2 linked regions of the Rhinolophus ferrumequinum genome follow. Each later gene encodes a partner of the first gene's protein in a complex. Links are inferred from orthologs where the notes say so. Each region holds a gene or a part of one and is shown in the gene's direction. Other genes may lie near its edges.

The links. Proteins that work in one complex are often made in the same cells at the same time.
Region 2: the proteins of LCK (region 1) and CD4 are in contact, whole or in part, in an NMR structure (PDB 1Q68), measured with the Homo sapiens proteins. The link is inferred for Rhinolophus ferrumequinum from reciprocal best matches to the Homo sapiens genes LCK and CD4. Residues at the interface, in NP_001036236.1 of Homo sapiens: Glu15, Ile17, Val19, Cys20, Asn22, Cys23, Tyr25, Pro26, Ile27, Val28; in NP_000607.1 of Homo sapiens: Ala429, Arg431, Ile435, Leu438, Leu439, Lys443, Thr444, Cys445, Gln446, Cys447.

What each region holds. Positions count from the first base shown.
Region 1 is NC_046292.1:22,133,723-22,143,824, forward strand, and holds the start of LCK (tyrosine-protein kinase Lck), read left to right. Parts: upstream 1-5,805; 5' UTR 5,806-5,931; intron 5,932-10,102. Other genes in the region: myotubularin-related protein 9-like, read right to left, coding at 1-45, 224-408; protein FAM167B, read left to right, coding at 2,606-2,863, 3,540-3,770. UniProt on the Homo sapiens protein: Non-receptor tyrosine-protein kinase that plays an essential role in the selection and maturation of developing T-cells in the thymus and in the function of mature T-cells. Plays a key role in T-cell antigen receptor (TCR)-linked signal transduction pathways.
Region 2 is NC_046293.1:23,978,149-23,988,959, forward strand, and holds the start of CD4 (T-cell surface glycoprotein CD4), read left to right. Parts: upstream 1-6,428; 5' UTR 6,429-6,710; intron 6,711-10,811. UniProt on the Homo sapiens protein: Integral membrane glycoprotein that plays an essential role in the immune response and serves multiple functions in responses against both external and internal offenses.

The sequences.
Region 1 (10,102 bases):
AGGTCCTTACAGCGCAGCGTGATGGTGCCGGAGTCACCCGCGACCCTGAGGAAGGACGGACTTAGGCTGAGTGTCCCCCGACCCCCTCCTCCCGACAGCAGGGCAGGAGAAACCAGGATTGGACGTTACGCGGGGGGACACCAGCTCCAACAGCGCTTGCCCTTTCCGCTCTACCCGCGGAGCTGCGAGGTCCTCATTCCCGGGATGTCCCCACTACGCTTACCGCTTCTCGATGGAGTCGACACTACGCAAAAGCAGCAGCCACAGGTCTGGAGTCGCCTGGGGCCCTGGAGACAGCAGCAGGTGATGGCCGGTGACACACAGCGTGCCGCGCAGCGGGGGCGCCTCAGGGCCCCGCAGGAGCTCTGCTTGGGCCCGGCCCGTACGGATCAGCTCCGAGAACTCCATTCCCGCCTATGGTGGGCCTGGGGCCCAGCAAAAAGACAGACTCCTGTAGTGTCAGGCTGAAAGAGCGCGGGCTCTGAAATGGACAGGAACTGGCTGGGCAGCTGGCGACGCCGGCAAGACAGCTGTTAAGGAGGCCCCTTGAAGGAAGAGATTGAACAGTATCACAGGAATTTCCCCTTCTTATTGCCAGCACCTCTTAGCGTGGACGCCAGTCAGAGCCTGTTAAGGAAACCTCAATTTTGTCATCTGTGAAATGGGGAGAATAATCTTGCTTAAGCCCTTGACCTCGCCTGATTTGCAGGAAGCACTCAATATTTTTTTTATTTTTTACACTGGGATGTTGACACTCCAGCTGATTTAAAAAGGAGAGAAAAATGCCATCTTTTCTCCTAGACCTGGTGGAAGGGGTGGAAAGTGTGGGCGTGAAACGTAACTGCCTACTTCCTCCCTATATCTGAGGCTGGTGGGGGAAAATCCCTTGGTCCACCTTAAATGCAAGCAGCTGTGTAGTCGGCTCCTTCCCCCTACCACAGCTGGAAGTCTCTGCCTGAGGGCGCCCTCTATAGGGGCCACTTCTGATTTAGTCCTGCCTTCTGGAGCCCCATGCTCTATCACTTCATCCTTTGAACACATATGAATTGCAGGTACACTGAGCTGGGTTCCATATTTGGTGTTGGAACCCAAAGGTGACTGAGGAGGGTTCTGTTCATAAGGTTTTCAGTTCTGGTAAATTACACGAGATTAAACCGATTTACTGGAGGACTCATCCATCTAATTCTTTCATTTCTTAAACACTGATGTCTACAGCTGTGTTAAGTGCTGATTACCATAAGAGGAAGAAGACCCACTCCTGCCTTCAAAGGGCCTTCTGGTCCACTAGGTTCCAAGCTCTTGTGTGTGTTGGGGAGCGGGGAAGGAGGCATGCAAAACCCTTCTTTCAAAAAAAAAAAATCATACATGGACCCTCATAATATAAACATAAAATTGGAACTACTCTATGAAAGGAACCAGATAATAGAGTACAAACTGTAAAATTCCAGACCAGCAGCACCAGCCGGGATGGGAATTGGTTAGAAGTGCAAATTATGAGGCCCACCCCTGACCCCACATATACTAAATAAGAAACTCTGGGAGTGGGGCTGACAGTATTTTTAAAGAAGTGTTCTAGGTGATTCCAATGCATGCTACAGATTGATAACCACTAGAAAGGTGTTTTTGTTTTTTTTTTTAAAGGCTAAACTAATCTATGCTGTTGGAAATTAGAGTAGTATTACTCTTCGGAGAGAAGTGACAGGCCAGGAGCACAAAGGCTGTACCAGCCTGGATGCTAGTAAAACAGAACTCTGCTGCTTGACCTGGGTGCTGGTTACATATGTGTGTTCAGTTTGGGAGAATTCATCAAGCCGTGTACTTATGATAGGTGAATTTTTCTGTGTGTATGTTATTTTTCAGTACAAAGTTTACAAAAGGGAACTGCTCTGGTTAAAGCCCTGGGAGAGGCCCTCCAGGAGAGGCAGGTCTAAGAGCCCATCCACAGCTCTGTCCTCACCCGGCACTGTCTCTGAGGGATTTCCAAGGGAACCTGAAGTTCCTTAGAGTACAGTTTGAAATCTTTGATCTGCCCCAACAGAGAGTCAGTGACTTGTCGAGACCCCACATCCAGCACCAGAACCCAAGTCTCCCGACTCCCAGGCCAGGACTCTGGCCACTATTCCTTTGCTGAAGGACCAATGCCATGAGTGACGATGGGGCCAGCTTGTCAGCCTTCTATCCCCTCCCCCACTCCCTTACTTGGGTGTTGGGAAAAGGGCCAAGACTCTGGTGTGGATGATGCTTTTCTTATCCTGCAGCAACTTCCTTTCTGGGAACTGGGTGTCTCCTTCTGGGCAAAGACAATAAAATTCATCCAAGGGGCTAGAGGATCAGGGCTCCTCCTGTCACCACCCAGATGGGCATCACGTGGCTCCAGGGTTACAGTCCAGGAAAATCCCAGCCCTTGCACACTCGGCCTCCCATACCCATCTACTCACCCACCCTGATACACTCAGCCTCTTCCAGCCACCTTGAGCATTCACTATCACACACACACACTCCCTGGCACACTTCTTTCAGCTTTTGCCACTTCTCCCTGAACAATATTGCCAGGCTTTCCCTAATTCCAGAGCTGTAGCCTTTTGTCACTTACCCCAAACCCACCATGTCCTTGGGGCCACTGAAATTCCAGGCAGTGGGTGAAGAAAAGGAGGATGAGGAGGAAGAGAGCCTAGACTCTGTGAAGGCGCTGACGGCTAAGCTGCAGCTGCAGACACGGCGGCCCTCATATCTGGAGTGGACAGCCCGGGTCCAGAGCCAGGCCTGGCGGAGGGCCCAAGCCAGATCTGGGCTGGGGGGACCTGGGGCCATCTGCGGCTTTGACTCAGTGGATTCTGCCCTTGAGTGGCTCCGACGAGAGCTGGTGAGTCTGGTGGGGTGGGCAGCCTTGCAGAGGGCCTTGGGATAGCACTTCTAAGGGCCCAAGACCACAGGTGAGGGGCAAAGATGAGAATGGACCCCACCTCCAGCAACTGCCCACTCCTATGGCTGTGTCTGGGGGCTGAGGAGCAGGAATGGATTTGTTCAGTGTTTTATTCAGGAGCCTTGCTGAAGGATTCCATTCAGTCTGCTGACCTTGTGCTTCTTTGGCTCAGGAGACAGTATAGATGGGAAAGGCATGGCCTCCCCTACTCTGGGAATTTGCTATATCCCAAAGACACTGTGAAGTACAAAATGAGGTCAGTACAAAATGAGCATGGTCAGTACCATGCTGTAGACAGAATCTGAGGAGGCAAAGATGAAATAGGTGGTTTTTACCCTAACATGTACAAATATAAAGATGTCCAGGCTCCATATTGGAGATTCCACTTAGTTATCTGGGATGGGGCCCCAGGAACGTGTTTAACAATGGCTCCTTGTCTTAGTTTTAGAACCATCGGTATGGAGCAAGAGCAGAGAGAGGGGAGGATCAAGCTGGGGTGAGAGGGGGTGTGGAGGACACATCCAGTGCAAGGCCCCAGGGTGTTGACAGGAAGGGAAGAACAGGGCTAGCAGCTGAGCGCTGGTGCAGCAGGCTAAAGGCCCCCTCTCTGCCACAGCAGGAGATGCAGGCTCAGGACCAGCAGCTGGCCGGGCAACTGCTTCACCTGCGGGCCCAGCTGCACCGGCTGAAGGTGGACCAAGCCTGTCACCTGCACCAAGAGCTGCTGGATGAGGCCCAGCTGGAGCTGGAGCTGGAGCCAGGGGCCGGCCTGGCCCTGCCCCCACCGCTGCGGCACCTCGGCCTCACACGCATGAACCTCAGTGCTCGGCGCTTCACCCTCTGCTGAGGGGTGCCTGTATGCCTCCTGGGCCACCCACTACCTCTTCCTCAGCCCACCTGGAAAGGGGGAAGCAAGGGGTGCCCCAGAGGCGCCAGCACCTGGTGAGGGAGGAGGGTTGATGGGTACACACTGGGCTCTGAGAGCATCCTGTCCCTGCTGCTGCCCCAGTTGTGTGTGTGTGTGTGTGTGTGTGTGTGTTAGGGGAGGAGCTCACAGACACCCACCAGGCTCCTCAATAAATGCCCTCTCTGCTTCCCATCAAGGTCTCCGCAGCCATTATTCAGGTTCAAGGTCGTCAAGTGTTATCTGTTGCTGGGACCAGGGATTCCGTTGCAAGAGAGAAGACCTGGGTTGGGGTGGAAATGAACTGATGGATCCTCATTTCCCCCACAGCTCCAGCTCTATGGCTCTATCTTATCAAGATCAGAACTGGGGAAAAACTTAAAATCCTAAATCACGTCCATGGAAGGTGACTTGGGTACGTGGGCAGCTGAAGAATGCAGAATCCGGTAGAACTGGACTCAAAGGCAGCTCCCCCATTTGTTTCTATCAGATTTGAGAAGGTCCCTTAATTCCTGAATCATTTCCTTTACCTCTAAAATGGCAGTGCTAATTCTCACTCCCCAAGTAGGTGGATGTTTCGTAAGTGGGAGAATGCACAGTAAGCACTCAGTAAATGTGAACTATCTGTTGCTTATCCTTACTATCAGCAGTGGTGTTATTACTATTGTGCTGAACCCAGAGATGGCCTGTGCCATGCTCAGGTTCATAGCTAGGGTTGCTGACGCCTGCAGCCCAGACTATGGGCTCTGTGTCACTGTAGTTGGGTTTTGTGTTTTTTTTCACTTTGTATCTCTCAGTCTTTGTTTCTGTGTTACCCTCTTTGTCTGACTTTCCAACTCAGGCTTCCTCTTCCCCCCACCCACTTCCTGTCTCCCCCTTCCCTCTGCAGCTGAGGTGCACACAGCATCAGCTTCCACCTCACAAACCCCAACAATGCTCTGTGGGCTCCCTTCCCCCAAACTGCTCACTCAGTGTAGGCTCAGGCAGTGGTGACGTGTTTATACTTTCCTCTGGGTGGGGTCAAGGCCCAGCTCTTGGGCCTGATAAAGGCCACCTGGAGCTCCTCATAACACTGATGACCTGGCCCTCAGACTATGATGGGTGCCACCCTCAGTGTGGCCTCCGGGTAAAGGGAGATTCTTGGCCTGCTTGCTGCTGTGACAAGGTTCCTGCCTGTAACAGAAAATGCTGCCAGTCTGCTGCTTGCATCTGGGTGCTTGAGAAGGAGTGTTTGTTCTAGCTTCCACCTGTTGCGGGAGGTGGTGCCAGGCTCTGCACCTCTAATAGGGTTGGTGGCCTTGCCACTACCTGAATTAGAATTGTTCCCCAACTCTCCAACCATCATTAGTGGGTGTCGTCCTGTCCTCTTAAAGACACAGCGTTATCCTGCCTTCTTCCTTAAACAGCTTGTTGTCCTGCATTCTGTCTATAACAGGAGTGTTAGCCTACCCTCTGACAATAATAAAGCTGTTGTCCTGTGCCCTGAGATGACATGGCTATTATTCCGACTATAGCAGCCATGTTAGCTTGATGTTTGAAACGTGGGTGTTCTGCTCTCCAACTACTTAACAGAGGTATTGTCCTCCCCTTTGCCCCTGAAATGATGTTACCTTTGCCCTCAGACTGTAATGAAAGGGTCCTTCAGCTCGCAGACTGTGACAACAGTGCTTCTTGCCTTTCACTGACAGCTGAGGGTGTGTCTGCGTGCCCTTGCTCATTGGGGTTTAAAGGCTGCCCTTGAATCTTTTGTCCAGGTGTATCCTGGAGGGCAGGAGGGAGGTTCCATCAAATATCCTCCCTTCACCTCCAAGTACCACCCTCAGGGTGAGCAGGGCCTGGCCTGGAGACGTACAGGACCCCCAGAGACTGAGGGTTGGGGGGCTATGGTGGCAGGAAGCTTGGGGTGCTAGAGGCTTGTGGTTGGGCTGCTGGGGCCCGGTTGACTGCGGAGCCCTCAGGAGGAGGCAGGAAGTCAGGGTGGGACGTGGGCGCGAGGAGTCAGGTGGTGGCTACGACGGTGAGGGGAGCTGAAACTCTGTCTGGGCAGCCAGGCTGGGCCAGGAGGACCATGTGAATGGGGCCAGAGGGCTCCTGGGCTGGGCAGGTAAGGAGTACCGGGACAGAGGTCCATGGGGCTGGTGGGGGCCTGATGGCAGGGGGCTGCAGCTGGGCACGGGGCCAGGCTCCTTGGGTATGCAGCAGCCCTTCAGTCTTGGGGTTGGGGGCACAGAAGAAACTTGCTGGAGGTCAGGTAGGAGGCATGCAGTGCAGCCAGATCAATTCTTTCCTCTGTAGCTGTTGGCTCTTGGTTCTGCCACAGGGCCGGCCATCCACCTCCACCTCACTGGGATATCTGGCACATGGCCTGTCGGGTATTGACAAAGCCTTCAGAAATCCCCAAGTCCAGTCCCTCATCCCATGGTGGATGAGCCTCCTGAGTCCCAGAGAGGGCAAAGGCACTCCCTCCCTGCTGTCCCTCAGCAAGGCAGTGGCAGAGCCCTGGGAAAGGGTGATGGTGTAGGCTATGACCCCCACTCCACCATGGAGCAGGGAGAGGAAAAGGCTTGAGTCAGGGGATCCAGGAATCCTTCTGGTTGCTGGGTCAGAGCCCAGGGACAAAAATCTCCTGAAAGAGATCAGAGTCACCCAGACCATCCAAATGGACACGTGTGAAGTGATTTTAGCCTCAGTGACCAGCACTGCTTGGGAGAGGGAGGTGTCTCCCGTTTGGAGCAGATGGAAATGCGAGGGCACATTTATCATCTGGAATGGGGCCTCCAGGGCGGAAGTATCTGACCGGAAGCTGGGAAGTCGGAGGGGAGAGAATGAGGGGAGAAGGTGAGAGGAAGGGCTATTTTTATCCAGGACAGGGATGCAGTTGGCCCTGGGCGAGGACCGTCTGAGCTCCCATCTGGAAAGCTGCCATCCCTACCCCTGCCAAGTGTCGCAGGATGTCCTCCCCTCTCCCCTCGCTCACTCCTGCTGCAGCCACACACACAGCTCCTACATGTGTAGGGCCAGTTGGTCCTGCGGATTATTCCTGCTTCAAACCCCAGGAAAGCATAGTCAGCTACCTGCCCACCCCCTCACTGTGCAACTCTCAGCCTTCAGTTTATGGGGAGAGTCCCCACCTGCACCAGACTTTCCAGGTTTCCCCTGCCATTGGAGTTTTTCTTGACACACAATTTCCACCTAGTCAGCACGTCCCAGCCTTCTCCTGTCCCCAGCTCCAAGGCCTGCAGACTTTTGTGGGGGCTGAGGAACACGCTGGCTCTTCCTGCACTTCAGGGGGGCTCATCCACACCCTGAACAGGCATGAGCAGGCCCCCTACCCCCATCCAGCCTATGCTTGTAGATGACTCAGGGCTCCTCATCCTTGGGGCTCAGGGAGAGTGGTTCTTCTCAAAGGGTAAAAGGGCCAAGTGATGGGCACGAAGACAGGCTGAGCATTAGAGGTTGGGAGAAGCCATCCCTTAGGTTACCTGGAAGGCTTCCTGGAAGAGTCAGCGCAGTTCTGAGAAGGACAAAGGTCCATTTTGGAAAGTTCCCAGGACATGAAGCCAAGGTCACTGTCCCTGGGTTCTGTTCTTTGGGTACCATGAGGTCAGAGACCTGCAAGCAAGATCAAATGCAAGAGTCAATGCAAAGAGCATGCGTTTCAGAGTCGGGCAGGCTAAGGTACTATTCCAGTTCTGCTATTTCCTTGAACGAGTGGCTTCACCTCCCCGAACTCCAGTTTACTTATCTGTATAGAAGCAATAATGAATTTCTCTCTTACAGAGTGCTTGTGGGTAATCAAAGAGATAATAATGACTGTGATGTGCCCTGTAATGGTCTAGGCTGTGACCCCCATGGAGCAGGGTGATGAACAGGCTTAAGTCAGGGGACCCAGGAATCTTTCTGACACATAGTAGTTGCTTGACAGAGGTTTGACACTCTCTCCTCCTGCAAGTAGTTTACCAAACGGAGGACTGTCCACACCCAGAATTACTCCTACTCAGCGCTTTGGGAGGCCAGTGAACCACCCATTCCCTCACACTTGTGCTGTGGCTTTGCAAATTAGCTTGTTTCCTGTGTATAATGGGTGTGAGAATTCTAGACCGGGCCACAGATCTACCTTAAAGGAGGGTCCCACACACAGTTACCATGTTTCCCCGAAAATAAGACCGACCCAGCTGGGCAATCAGCTCTAATGCATCTTTTGGAGCAAAAATTAATATAAGACTCGGTCTTATTTTACTATATTTATATTTTACTATACTTATAGTAAAATAAGAGCGGGTCTTTATAGTATAGTATAATATAATATAATATAATATAATATAATATAATGTAATATAGTATAATATATAATACCAGGTCTTATATTAATTTTTGCTCCAAGAGACGCATTAGAGCTGATGGTCCGGCTAGGTCTTATTTTTGGGGAAGCAGGGTATACACACGCACACATACACACCCTATCCCAAACACCATACATATTGTCAGTGGAAAATGTGTGTGTGTGTGTGTGTGTGTGTGTGTCTGTGTGTGTTTGCATGTATGTTCAGAGGCAGAGGCAGGGTCTACACATACAACACACACTGGACCCCACAAATCCATACACACACCCACAAGCTGATGGCTTCAAGGCCAAGCTTCATTCAGTGAAAGCAATGCTCAGAGAAGCTGAGTGTATGGGGGGCATGGGGACACGTAGGACCACAACAATATCCAGGGATGTGGCCTTCTCTAACAACCAAGTTCAGTGTTGGTTTTAAAGCATCTGGAGTTGCATTTCCAATGCTTGCTCTAAAGAATGTTATTTCCAGAGGTGCCTGGAAAGAAAAGGTTCTCGGGCCAAATCAACATGGCCTCAGCTACAAACTGTCTTGTATTAACTTCACAGTCAAGCTTGTGAAAGCTCTGAAAGTCCCTTCAGAAGGAGCCAGATTGATTTTATCTAACCCAATGTTTCCCAAACTTCCTTGGTCGCAGAACCTTTTTCCAGTAGTACCTCTTCCATGGTTACAGTTCTTGAGACAAGGAGAGGAATGGAAGGGCAGGCTATTGATCCTCCTCAAATGATCCTCTTCTGGCAGTGTTTGCATTGGTGGTGGTTTTATTGTTTTTTGCTTTTCAAGTACAAAATTAGCACACAGTTGTTTTTAAAACTTCAAACAGTATAGAGGCATATAAAGAAATACAAGAAATGCAGCTCCCTCCAATCTTACTTCTGGGATATGCTCACTATGAACAATTTGGTGAGCGTCCTTCCAGAATTTCTTATGTATGGCTACTGAAAAGCCTAGCGGTTAAGAACCTAGTCTCTGGAGACAGGCAGAACAAGGCTCAAATTGCCACTCCACCACTTATTTGTTTGTTATGAGGCCTCAGACAAATCGCTTTACCCCGTTTGAGCCTCAGTTTTTGCCTCTGCAAAATGGGGATAATAATAGCACTTACTTCATAGAATTATTATGAGAATTACATGAAACTATGCAAATAAAGGCTTTGCACAGAGCCCGGCTTAAAAGAATCCCCTATATATACATATTGAAATGCAAATAGGCTTATATTCTACATTCTGTTTTGTAACTTCTTACCCTGTTATGTCTGTGACATTTTTCCATGTCAATACATGGAGATCTACCCCATATTTTTAACAGTTTTAACTAGACTTCGTTAACTTGGTAAGTGAGTAATGGTGGTGATTTTGAGACGCTACTTCCTGGCAAGTATTGCTGTTTTGTGTTGTTAGTGTTAGTGTTGGAGTCAGACATTACTGATCAGTGAGCTAAAGTAAAGACAAGCATTATGGCTTCCTGTAAAAGAGTGCTCCGCCAGAGCGGCACCCACCTCTGTCAGAGGGCAGGATGAAGTGGACGGGAATCTTCTGTGTCCCCAGCGTTAGATCAGGGCTTGCCACATAAGAGGTACCCATTACATTTTCATCAATAGACTGGCCAATTAAGAAAATTGTGCTTCTTCTAGCTCACCAACAGAGGCCTAAGCCCAAAGTTCTGTCTCACAGTACAGCATTTCCCCAAATATGGCCTGTGTATCATTGATGAGGGTGAGTGATTTTAGGGGGTAATGAATGGACGTTTACAAATGTGAATTTTTGTATCATATTATGTGTTTATTTATTTATTTAAAAAATTTTATTGGGGAAGGGGAACAGGACTTTATTGGGAAACACTGTGTACTTCCAGGACTTTTTCCAAGTCAAATTGTTGAACTTTCAATCGTAGTTGTAGAGGGCGCAGCTCAGTTCCAGGTCCAGTTGTTGTTAG
Region 2 (10,811 bases), on another chromosome or scaffold:
TTTTCTTGGGGAATACTGGGGGATAGTGTTTTTCCAGGACCCATCAGCTCCAAGTCAAGTCGTTGTTTTCAATCTAGTTGTGGAGAGCACAGCTCACTGGCCCATGTAGAAATTGAACTGGCAACCTTGGTGTTACGAGCACTGTGCTCTAACCAACTGAGCCAACCGGCTGCCCCACTTTTCACTTCCTCTTAAGGCCTTCCAGGGAGCTAGGTTAATTCATCAAGCATCTCCAAGTTTATCTGTGAACCAGTGTTCCAGGCTGGCGACCTGGAGGGGAAGAAACATCAAGGAGGCAGGGAGCTAGGTGGGGCCCATGGGGGATGGGGGAGGAATCATCTTAGGTCCCGGTTAAAAAGAAAGGGGTATATTGGTTTTCTATTGGTACATAACAAATCACTCCAAAACTCAGTAATTTAAAACAGTAAACATATTATTTCACATGGTCAGGAATCCAGGAGCAGCTGAGCTGAGTAGTTCTGAAGCAGGGTCTCTAGTGAGGTTGCTGCCAAGATGTGGGCCAGGGCTGAAGGCTTGGCTGGACTGAAGGATCTGCTTCCAAGAAGGATCCTTAGGTGGCTGCTGGCCAGAGATGTTAGTGAGTTCTGCCCCACCCCCACATAGGCCTCTTCTTAGGGTCACTCATGACATAGCAACTGGCTTCTCCTAGAAGGAGAGAATGGCCAAGACAAAAGCTACCATGCTTTCATAACCTAATCTGGAAAGTGACATACTGCCCCTTCTGCCCTATTCTATTGGTCACACAGACCAAGGCTGGTACACTGTGGGAGGGGAAAACATAAGGATGTGAAATGAAGGAGTCAGGAATCATTGGGGGCCATCTTGCATCATGGCTATCACAGTGGGAAACACTCACCATAAGAGAGACAGGCCATGAGAGAGGAAGAGGTATCTCTGAGTACCTCTACCCCCAGTCCTGCCATGGACCTGATAGCCTACTCTATTGTCCACTCTCCAGAAGTTCTGGATGCCAAATGAGGTCCAGAGCCTTGCCAAGTCAAGTGGGTCAGGCAAGAGGCCATGCTGTGCTCATTCAGACCTGTGGTCACATTTGCCAGTGTGTCCCCCCCACCCTTAACCTCGTCTTTTTATCTATATGGTGCAGGGGAGGCCCAAAAATTTCCGTGCCCCACCTCCCTCACCAGGCAGAGGTATTAGAGTTCAGACCTGGGCCCCTGTTGTAATTCCTCCCACAAAGGAGGTAAGCAAGGAGCTTAGGTGTCTTGCTTGGGCCCACCCCAAGATGGAGTTCGCCCTTTGAAAGGAATGCGGCTGGGGTGGGGATGAGGATGGGTTCTATCCGCTCAACTCTGTGGCTGACAGTTTCTCCAAAGGACTGCAGGTGCCAGCTGGCTGAACCCAGGCTGAGCTCTGAAATTTGCCTGCTCATAGCTCCCATGGAGTGCGGGAGGCCCAGGAACCACCCTCTGAGAGATGCAGAAAGTGGTTATGGAGCTAGGGAGAATGTGGCCAGGGTGGAAGTGGGTCAGCTCTCCAAGACTCTGCTTCTCAGAGAACAGCCTCTGTGGCCCCTCCCCACCTCCCAAATTTTCAAGCCCTTCCCCCAACCCCCTTGCAAAGGCTGTCAGTGCAGCTGTAGATGTTTCTGGTAAGGAGGCCACCACAGGACTGCACCTGGGGCTTCCAACTTCCCGTCCACAGGCTTCCACAGGTGGCCCTACCCCTTCCCCAATGGCAGGCCTCCAACACTCTGTCAGCCTTGATGCTGGCTTCCTTCTGCTTCCCCTTTCTTTCTCCCCACTTGACCTTCTCCTCTTCTTCCAGCCTGGAGACAGAATCCATGCAGCAAAAATATCTCTCAACCAGGAATCAGAAGACTTCTAGAAATCCCCATGCTTTATGCTTACAGTCATATCATGGGGCAGATTAACTTCAGTTTCTTCTTCTGTAAAATGAGGATAGTAATACTTGCCAAAAAGGTGTGGTATGTGCTAATGTATATGAAAGTGCTTTGAAAATGGAAAATCACTCTACACATATCAGGGATCATGGTGATGCTAAGCCTCAGATGCTCCAGATGAGGTTGTTGGCCTCCTACCTCTCCACTGTTATGGGAGAAAACATCTTAGTCATCATCCTAGCCTTTCTTTCTGTCTGTCTTTCTGTCTTTCTGTCTTTCTGTCTTTCTGTCTTTCTTTCTTTTTAAACTTTTATTTATTTATTTTTTGTGTCTTTCCAGGACCCATCAGCTCCAAGTAAAGTAGTTGTCCCAATCTAGTGGTGGAAGGCGCAGCTCACATTGGCCCATGCAGGGATCGAACAGGCAACCCTGGTGTTACGAGCATCGCACTCTAACCAACTAAGCTAACCAGCCTCCCATCCTAACCTTTCTTAATGCAGAGAAGAGGCAGTGGGGTGAGGGGGATAATCCAGGCATGGGGTCCAAGCAAAAGTTCAAATCCCAGTTCCATCAGTTATGGTTACTATTTCTGTGACATTCAGCAATTTTCTTAAACTCTTTGAGCCTCTGTTTCCTTATCTGTACGGTCTGGAGCATAACACCTGTACCCTATCATTGTGAGAATTAAATAAAATACGCAGCCATATGAAACAAACAGCAGTTCTAAATATTCAATATAAACTTGCCCTCTCTTCCTCTTTTCTTTTCACAAACTCTTTAGAAATCCCAGGGAGAGAACCAGGTTCTTGAAACCCGTTGACTCCTGGGAACCCATCTGCACAGGCATTCATAGGTCAGAGACCCAAGAGCTGAATGGTGTCACACAGTCTGTCTGGTCCATGAGGTGCAAATTGCTGGGCTTTAAGCTAGATACAGCCCTTGGAATGCTTTGTTTGGTTTACCCAGTATTAGAACAAAACAACAAAATTAATTGCCAACATTAAAATTAGGACATACTACATAAACGTCTGGTTTTCTATCTTCTCTCAAAATTTTGGCAGAACTGACAACTCTGGGCTCATATTCTGGTACAACCTCTGGTACAAAGCTGGAGCTGTGTGGTTAGTGGCTGCCCTCATGAAATGAGGCAGGTACTCTCTAGCTTATCTCAGTCCCCATTTCTCCCTATTGTTCACAACCAGTCTGTTTTGCTCATTTATATTACCTAGCAGGCTCCTGTAGGCATTTAAGTTTGTGATCCAATCCAGTCCCTCTCTATTCATTCATTCATTCATTCATTCATTCATTCATTCTTTCACTCATTCAAAAAGTATTCAACAGCCAGGGCTGGGGGCGGGAGGAGGTATGAGAAGTTAGTGTTTAACAGGTACAGAGTTTCAGCTGGAGAAGATGAAAAGTTTTGGAGCTGGATGGTGATGATGTTTGTACCATAACATGAATATACTTAATGCCATTGAACTGTGCACTTAAAAATGGTTATAGTGGTAAATTTTATGATGGTATGTATATTTTACCATAACAAACAATATCAATAAATATCGATAAAATTTAATATGTTTTTAAACAAAGATTTGACAAGTATTAAGGATCTACCAGGCCCAAGGCACCCTGCTGGGTGCTAAGTAAGGCAGACATGGTCACTACTCTAATCTGTGAGACAGACACTAAAAACTCAATAGTGCCATAGTTATTACACTTGGACTAGTGTTTCCAGGAGACAAACAGTGCAGGGTACTGGGAGATTTTACCATAAGGGACCCTGATACCAGCTGAGGAGCTCGAGTAGCCTTCTCAGACTATGAGGAAGGTTCATGGGTAGAGGATGGGGGAGCAACAAGATATAAACAGGACAAATCCAGCTTCTGGGGTGTGGTGTGGTGCCCCCTCACCTCCCTCACCTCTCAACCACCTGCCTCCAGACTTCTTTCAGTTGAGAAATCAACTCAAGTCTCATGCAATCCTCTATCATGTTGAATTTTCTTTCATTTGTAGCAATGCTTACTGATATACACTTCCCATGGAAGCCTTTCTCAGTTGAAATAAGGTTCCCTAGGATAACCTCTCTCAACACTCTGCTTCTCCCTTTGTAGCACTTGTCCAATCATAATGGAATTATTAAATGGTGAGTGTCTATATGTATGATATTTAATAAAATTAATATTTACAGCTTCATCAAGGACATTCTTAAGTAAAAGTGTCATGGACTAGAGCAGTTGACAATGTCTAGCTTACTTAACATCCCCAGCATCCAGCAGAGTACCTTGGGCCTGATAGACACTTAACACTTGTTGAATGTATGAGTGAATGGAGAGAACCAGAGTAGATAAGGGATTATAAATTCAAATGCTTATAGGAGCCTGCTAGGTAACGTAAATGAGAAAAGCAGGTGGCCTGTAAAAAATTGGGAGGGTGTTTGCATTCTAGTCTGCAAGAGGGAATTGAAGACCTGAGGAAGGACATACACCCTCCCATGAGGGAATTAGACCCTCCCTGTAAGGATGCTCCTTAGATGGTGCACCCAACATTTTCACTTACATCCATTAACCAAAATTGACTCAGTTAGCCACATCCAGCTGCAAGGGAGGCTGGGAAGTATAACTTAAATCTGGGTAGCCATGAGCTCTGCTAAAAATTAAGAGAATTACTAAGGAAGAAAAAGAAAATAAATTATGGGGACAACGAAAGTTCTGTACAGAGGGGTAGTTAAGTTCTGAAGAATGAATAAAGATTTTCTAGATTAGTAGTTCTCAAAGTGTGGCCCATGGGGGTCCCTGAGACCCTGTCAAGGGGTTTGGGAGGTCCAGCTATTTTTATAAAAATAATGGGATGTTATTTGCTTTTGTCACTATGTTGACATTGCAATAACATTGCAAAAGCAATCTGGGATAGACTGCTGTCTTAGCACAAATCAAGGCAGTGGCGCCAAACCATACTATTGTCATTTTATTCTTCACTGCCAGACACTTGCAGTAAAAAAAGGAAGGACAGAAAAAAACATGCCAGTTTTACTTAAGAATTTCCTTGATGAAGCAGTAAATATTAATTTTATTAAATTTCAACCCTTGAGTACATTGTGTTATGGAATGGGACATAACATTTCTCATTTGTTATGAAATGTTATGAAATGAGAGAAGCACTTCTGCCGCAAATGAAGCAAATGGTTGTTTCAAGTGGAAACACTTGTATTAATTGTTGGAGTTGCAAGATGAACTCGCCACTATTTTTCATAGTAGGGCAATGGCATGATGACATTTACACATTTAAATGATCACTCAGGCTACTGTGCAGAAGATGGCCTGGAGGAAGAAGAATGGAGAAGCCAGGAGACCAGTGAGGAGGTAGGAGCCATAGTCCAGGTAAAGGATGATGATGGCACCTTGGATGGGAATGGTGGCAGTGGGACAGTTGACTTAGATAGACTTCAGAACTATTTAGAAGGTGATAGACACCAGAATTGGTAAATAAATACATGGGAGATGCTGGGTTAAGAAGGAGTCAAAGATTATACCTAGTTTATTTGGCTTGAGCAGCTTGGATGGTGAAACCCTCACTGAGTGGGAGACTTGAAGGAAAAGTAAGATTGAAGATGTAAATAAACAAAATGGAACTGGAGCTGCTATACCAGAGGAACTTCCTTGCACATCTTATACCTCAGACCTGTGGAAGGTTAAAAACAGGGCAAAATAACCTTTGGACTAAGCCTGAGCAACATTTTTTTCCCAAAGAACTGTTTGCAAAGATAAGAAGAAAGCAGATATTATGACTACTGGACTGATGGCTAACGGACTGAAAATTAAAAGATGCTTTAGAATAAACATCCCTATGTTATGTTATCTGCACCAATAGAAATGCCTTCCTTCTGTTAATGTAATTGTTCTCCTTTCCCTTCTCATAAATACCCATTGCCTTTGTCTCCTAACTGGAACATTATTTGGGCTTCTGCCTGAATCATTGCTTCCCGAATAGCTATTCTTTTTATCTCAAATAAATGCTTGTTGCCTCTCACTTTGAAAGTCCTTTTATTTTTAGGTTAACAGAGGGGGGTAGTATGCAGATGATAACTTTAGTTTGGGGTGTGTTGAGTTTGCTATGTCTGGTGAACATCCAAGTGGAGATGTCCAGTGGGAAGATGGGTAGACATATCTGGAGCTCATGAGAGATCTGGGCTAGAGATAAAAATTTGAGGGTTGACCAGAGACGAAAGCCCTGAGGAAAAGAGTCTGGTCCCTTGTCATTCTGGGTGTCTCAGACATCCTCCTCTAGCCCAGATCCTTTCTGCCACACTGGGCCATCTACAATGCCTCTGGTGATGAACAAGTGCCCTTAGGGCCCAGGAGGAAGTAGCTCTTGAGGTCTTAACATAACTGCTCTCATATGCCCTCCACTTGCCTCCCACTTCTTGTTTCCCTGAAACCCTGGCCAGACTGCAGAATCACTGACACAATCTTTTTCTTGCCACGCAACAAAAAGTGCAGTGACACTTTTTCTTGCTACCCAATAAGAAGTGCAGTGATGCTCTGGGCTCCAGCCTGGTTCTGCTTAACTTTTTCCCTTGACTTTGACATTTTCACTTTGACATCTTCCCTGAGAGGCAAGGGGTGGGGACCCCAGCCCCAGATGGTGACGTTGGGGGCTGGCCCAGGCCTGGGGTTTGGAGGAGCCTCACTACCGGGCTTCCTGTCTCTGCAGGAGTAACAAGCGCTCTCCCCAGTGGGCTCCTGGTGCCAGAGCTCCCAGCCTTCACATAGGCACACCTGTGCGAGAAGCAGAAGCAGAAGTAGAGGGGACGATAGACACAGGCCCAGAGGTAAGATGGATAGACTCAGCTTCATTCTTTTCTGTGGGCCTGGGAAGGGGAGGAGAACGTGGCAGCAGGTGCATTGGAATGTGCTGGACTTCCTGCTCTTTGCCCACAACTCTGGTCACTTTCTCTTGCATTCCATGAGCAGCAATCTGCCACTGGAACTGTGAGCTTCAAGAGGCCGGGCCGATGCCAAGCGCCTCTCCACCTCCCTGCCGGCACAGCTCAGTGCCCAGAGCAGAAGATGCTCCTCGGAGGGGTGTTGACTCGGATTACAAGATCGCAGAAAAAATGGGGACTCAAGGCCACCCCAGGCTGAGAAAGGCAGTGGAAGGCAATTAATCATGAGGACTGGAGGAGATGAAGATAGGAAGAGAGGAAAAGAGGAAAAGAAGAGGAAAGAAGGAGTGGGAAAGAAATAGAAAGAATGACGAAACATTGAGGAGGGAGGAGGCCTATACAAAAAAAAGGGGAAAACAAAGGGAAAAGCAAGAAAAAGAGAAAAAGAAGTGGAATCTAGTCCAGAGATAATTCTCCCAAAATCAATTTTCCCAATGACACAGTCACCAAAAAGTCATACCAGAAATCATACTTGCAGCATTTCATAAGCCACATGATTGATGAAGCCTCTATTAACTGTCTTTTCTGTTTATGTGCATTTTTGTCTACTTCTGTGCATTTTTAGGATTTTTGAACAATATGTCTAAAGGCACTTCCCCTTTAATTAGCTTTAAAATGATTAATAAAATGAGAAAGCTAACATTCTCAAAAGGACTGAAACTGAGCTCTTATGTATGAAATGCTGTAAATGTGATAGATACGTATTTTTAGGTAAATACGTCAATGGAACAATTGGTTCTAAGAGAACTGGTTTTAGGTGTCTTAGCTGCTCTGGAAAAAGAGATTAGGGAGATAGAAAAGGATTTGCAGACCTCCTCCCTACCCTGGGCTTGGTCAGGCGTGGTGGGGGCAACTTAGGAGGTGATACCTCTCAAGATGGGACAGCCTGTACAACTCCACAGCCTTCGTCCTTAGCTCTCTAAGACCTCCATGGCCTTGCAGCCCTGTTCCCCAGGCATCTTCTGTCTTCCCTTTGTAGATGTATTCTGGGAGAGAGGTCTCCTCTGGTACAGTGAGATGTCTCAAAATAGAAAGGCCCCATTCTCCCTAATTCAAAGAATTTGTTCTGGCTGGAATTTCTCCTCCTGAATGTCCTACTCTTGTGGGGCAAATTTTTAGAGGTGCGGGGCTGAGAGTAGAAGTTGATAGGGGAGATCACTGCTGTTTCGTGTTTTGACAAATAATTTCTCGGGCTGTGTTAGATTCTGTAGGTTCATACAAAATGGCCGCCCTCTTAACCTCAAATAAGAGAGTTCCCAGAGAATAGGGTCATAGATAACTCACCAGATGATTTCCCTCTCTCAGTTTGGGGGCACTTATATAGAAGAGGTCTACCTCAAAATAAAAACTCCCCTCACTAACCGGTTCTAGGCAGAAAAAGCCTCTCAGTGCCTTAGGCCCTGATCCTGGCCATAGTGGTAAGGTGGCAGTGAGGGAGTTGGGTAGACCAAGGGCCTTGCACATTTTAGACACTCAATAAATGTTTAACAAAGTAAGTTTTATGAATGAAAGTGGGTGCTGGGAGGGGGCAGATGGGGGCCTGGGTTTGTAAGGCTCGAAGGTTGAAGTCTGTTCTGCACCTTTCGGGGGATGAGGGAAGAGGGAGGGCACAGCTCCCCCAGCGTGGGCGTCTGAGGCAAAGGAGAGGATGGTGGAGGTTGCAGCCACTGAACCACAAGGGTCCCTTACAGAGGTCATGGTCTCTAGGAAGTTTATATGAAGCCAGTAAGCAGCAGAGAGAGTGTGTGTTGTGGGGGCACATCCCATGACAGGGCTTGAGGGGGCTGACTGGGGGCCATGGGGAGAAGATAAAAGTGCCTGTGGGACCACAGACTGTCGCTGTGGTGGGGCTGTGCCCTCTTCCTCTCCCTAGTCTCACTCCTCATCCCATCTCGGGGGGCCAGGGTGAGGGCAGCAAGGACTTCGGCGGCTCTGAGTATGCGGGTGTGTGTTGCCATTTTGGTCTCATCGCTCTCTTGGTCTCTGTCTCTCTTTTGGTCTACTGCGCTGTGCATGTAGCTTACGTCTCAGAATTTCCTCCTCACTTTTCCTCTTCCTCTGTCTTGTTTGTACTCCCCTGGGCTTTGTGTGTGATCGTGGATTGTGTGGAGTGTAACTGTTACTTTAATGAGCTGCTCTGGGTCTCTCCCTACCTTCTGCGTTCCCTCCCAGCCTCCCATTATCAGTCCTTGGGGCCTCTGTTTCTCAGAATCTGTCCTTTTCCCTTTGTCCACCCTGCAGCCATCTCCCTTGTATCCATCCCTCGGCTCCAGACTGTGCTCTGCAGGCTCCCTTTAGATCAAAGCTTGTTGAAAGCCTGCATTCCTGCCAGAGGCCTGGATGCCTGTTAACAGGCAAGAAAAGGAACTAGAGCTTGGTGGCAGCTGGAGAAGGGAGAGATGAAAGAGGAAAAGAGGCAAAGGGCATTCCAAGAGAAACCAGAAGAGCCAGAATTGCCTCCTGGTGTATGACGCACAGAGGAGGAGAGACAAATGCAGGGAGTTGAAGACAGAGGCATCAGCTTGGGGAGGCATAGATGTATAAATGCACAGATATGAGCAGAAAAACAAGGCAGGGAGGGAGACAAGGGGGGAGGGAGGGAGGGAGAGAGAGAGAGAGAGAGAGTTGCCAGGACACCTCGGGGACCAGCGAGCCCTCCAAGGCTCTCTCTGGGCTGTGGTGTACAGGATGCGACTGCTACGGTACTGCTGCAGAGTGTCTCTGGGGAGGCTGAGGGTGTGGGAATCAAAGGCCAGCTCTCTAGGGTGGCAGCGGAAACCCGTAGCACCAAAGCAAGCAGCAGCTGGAAACCCATAGCCTCTTTCACCTAGCTGAGCCCTTGGGGTGGGTTGAGGCAGCGCAGGGAGCTGGAAGGTGGCCCTCTGCACAGACCTCAGGATCATGGAGTGGGGAAGGAAAAATGAGCACATCTGGGGAAGGTCAGGAATGTCCCAGCCTTCCTCAAACATCTAAGCTGAATTTGGACCCCAGGGAAGAGGTATCCCCTAGGAGACACCTTAACTTTCTGCTCACCAAAGACACAGTGAGTCTGGGATGCGGGGACAGTGGGAACCACTCTCAGATAATAGGGGTGCCCTACCCCATTTTCTCACCCCAGCCTTTCCCTCAATACCTCTGTGCTCCAAGTTAACTTGTAAACAACTGCACCCATGAGCAGCCTCCCTGCTTTCCTGGAACCCTTCTTCCTGACATGTTTTCTTCCTGTTTACCTGCTTAAACAATTCTATCAAGCCTGTACCATGTGCTAGGCCCTGGGTCATTACTCTTTTGGACAGATGGAGTGACTGGAGGGGACTTTTAAAAAAAATTTTCCCCCAAACCTCTTCGGAGAACCAAGCCCCCAGCACCCATCTGAATGCTACATCTGATCATGGACCAGTGCCCAACAGGAAACAGTCTGCCTCAGATGGTTCAAGAGACTGCAGAGAGGGGGTTTTTCACAGAGAAAGGTATAGACAGGGAACGAACCAGCACATTGCAGCAGACTAACACTAGCAACAGCAGGCAGGGTCCTGAAGAAACAAAGGCCAAAATGGTATTTCTGGAACTCAGTGAGAATTTGAGCTGTGGATAAGGGGCTACCAGAAAAGAGCTGTAATCAGCAGGGAGAGGAAGGGGGAACAGAGGGAATACAGCCATTTGCAGAAAATACTTCCAGAGCAGGAAGAGGGTAAGGAAAAATACCCCAGCCTCTCTCCCTGATTCTCTGATATCTTGTGGGTGCTCCCCATTGGCCAACACCAATTAGTAGCTGGAGGGCAAAGGAGCCTGAGCTATGCAGCCTGTAAGAGTCATCTTCCTTGTAGAGGGCAGGGCTGAGAGGATGGCCCATGGCGGGGTGGGGATTGGAGTGGGGGGTGCACACACAGGTAAATGACCCATTTTAGTAACAGAATTAACATGTCGAGTACGGAAAGAAGTCAGTGATTTCTTCTCCTCCATTCAATTCAATTTGGTTTAAGTTTA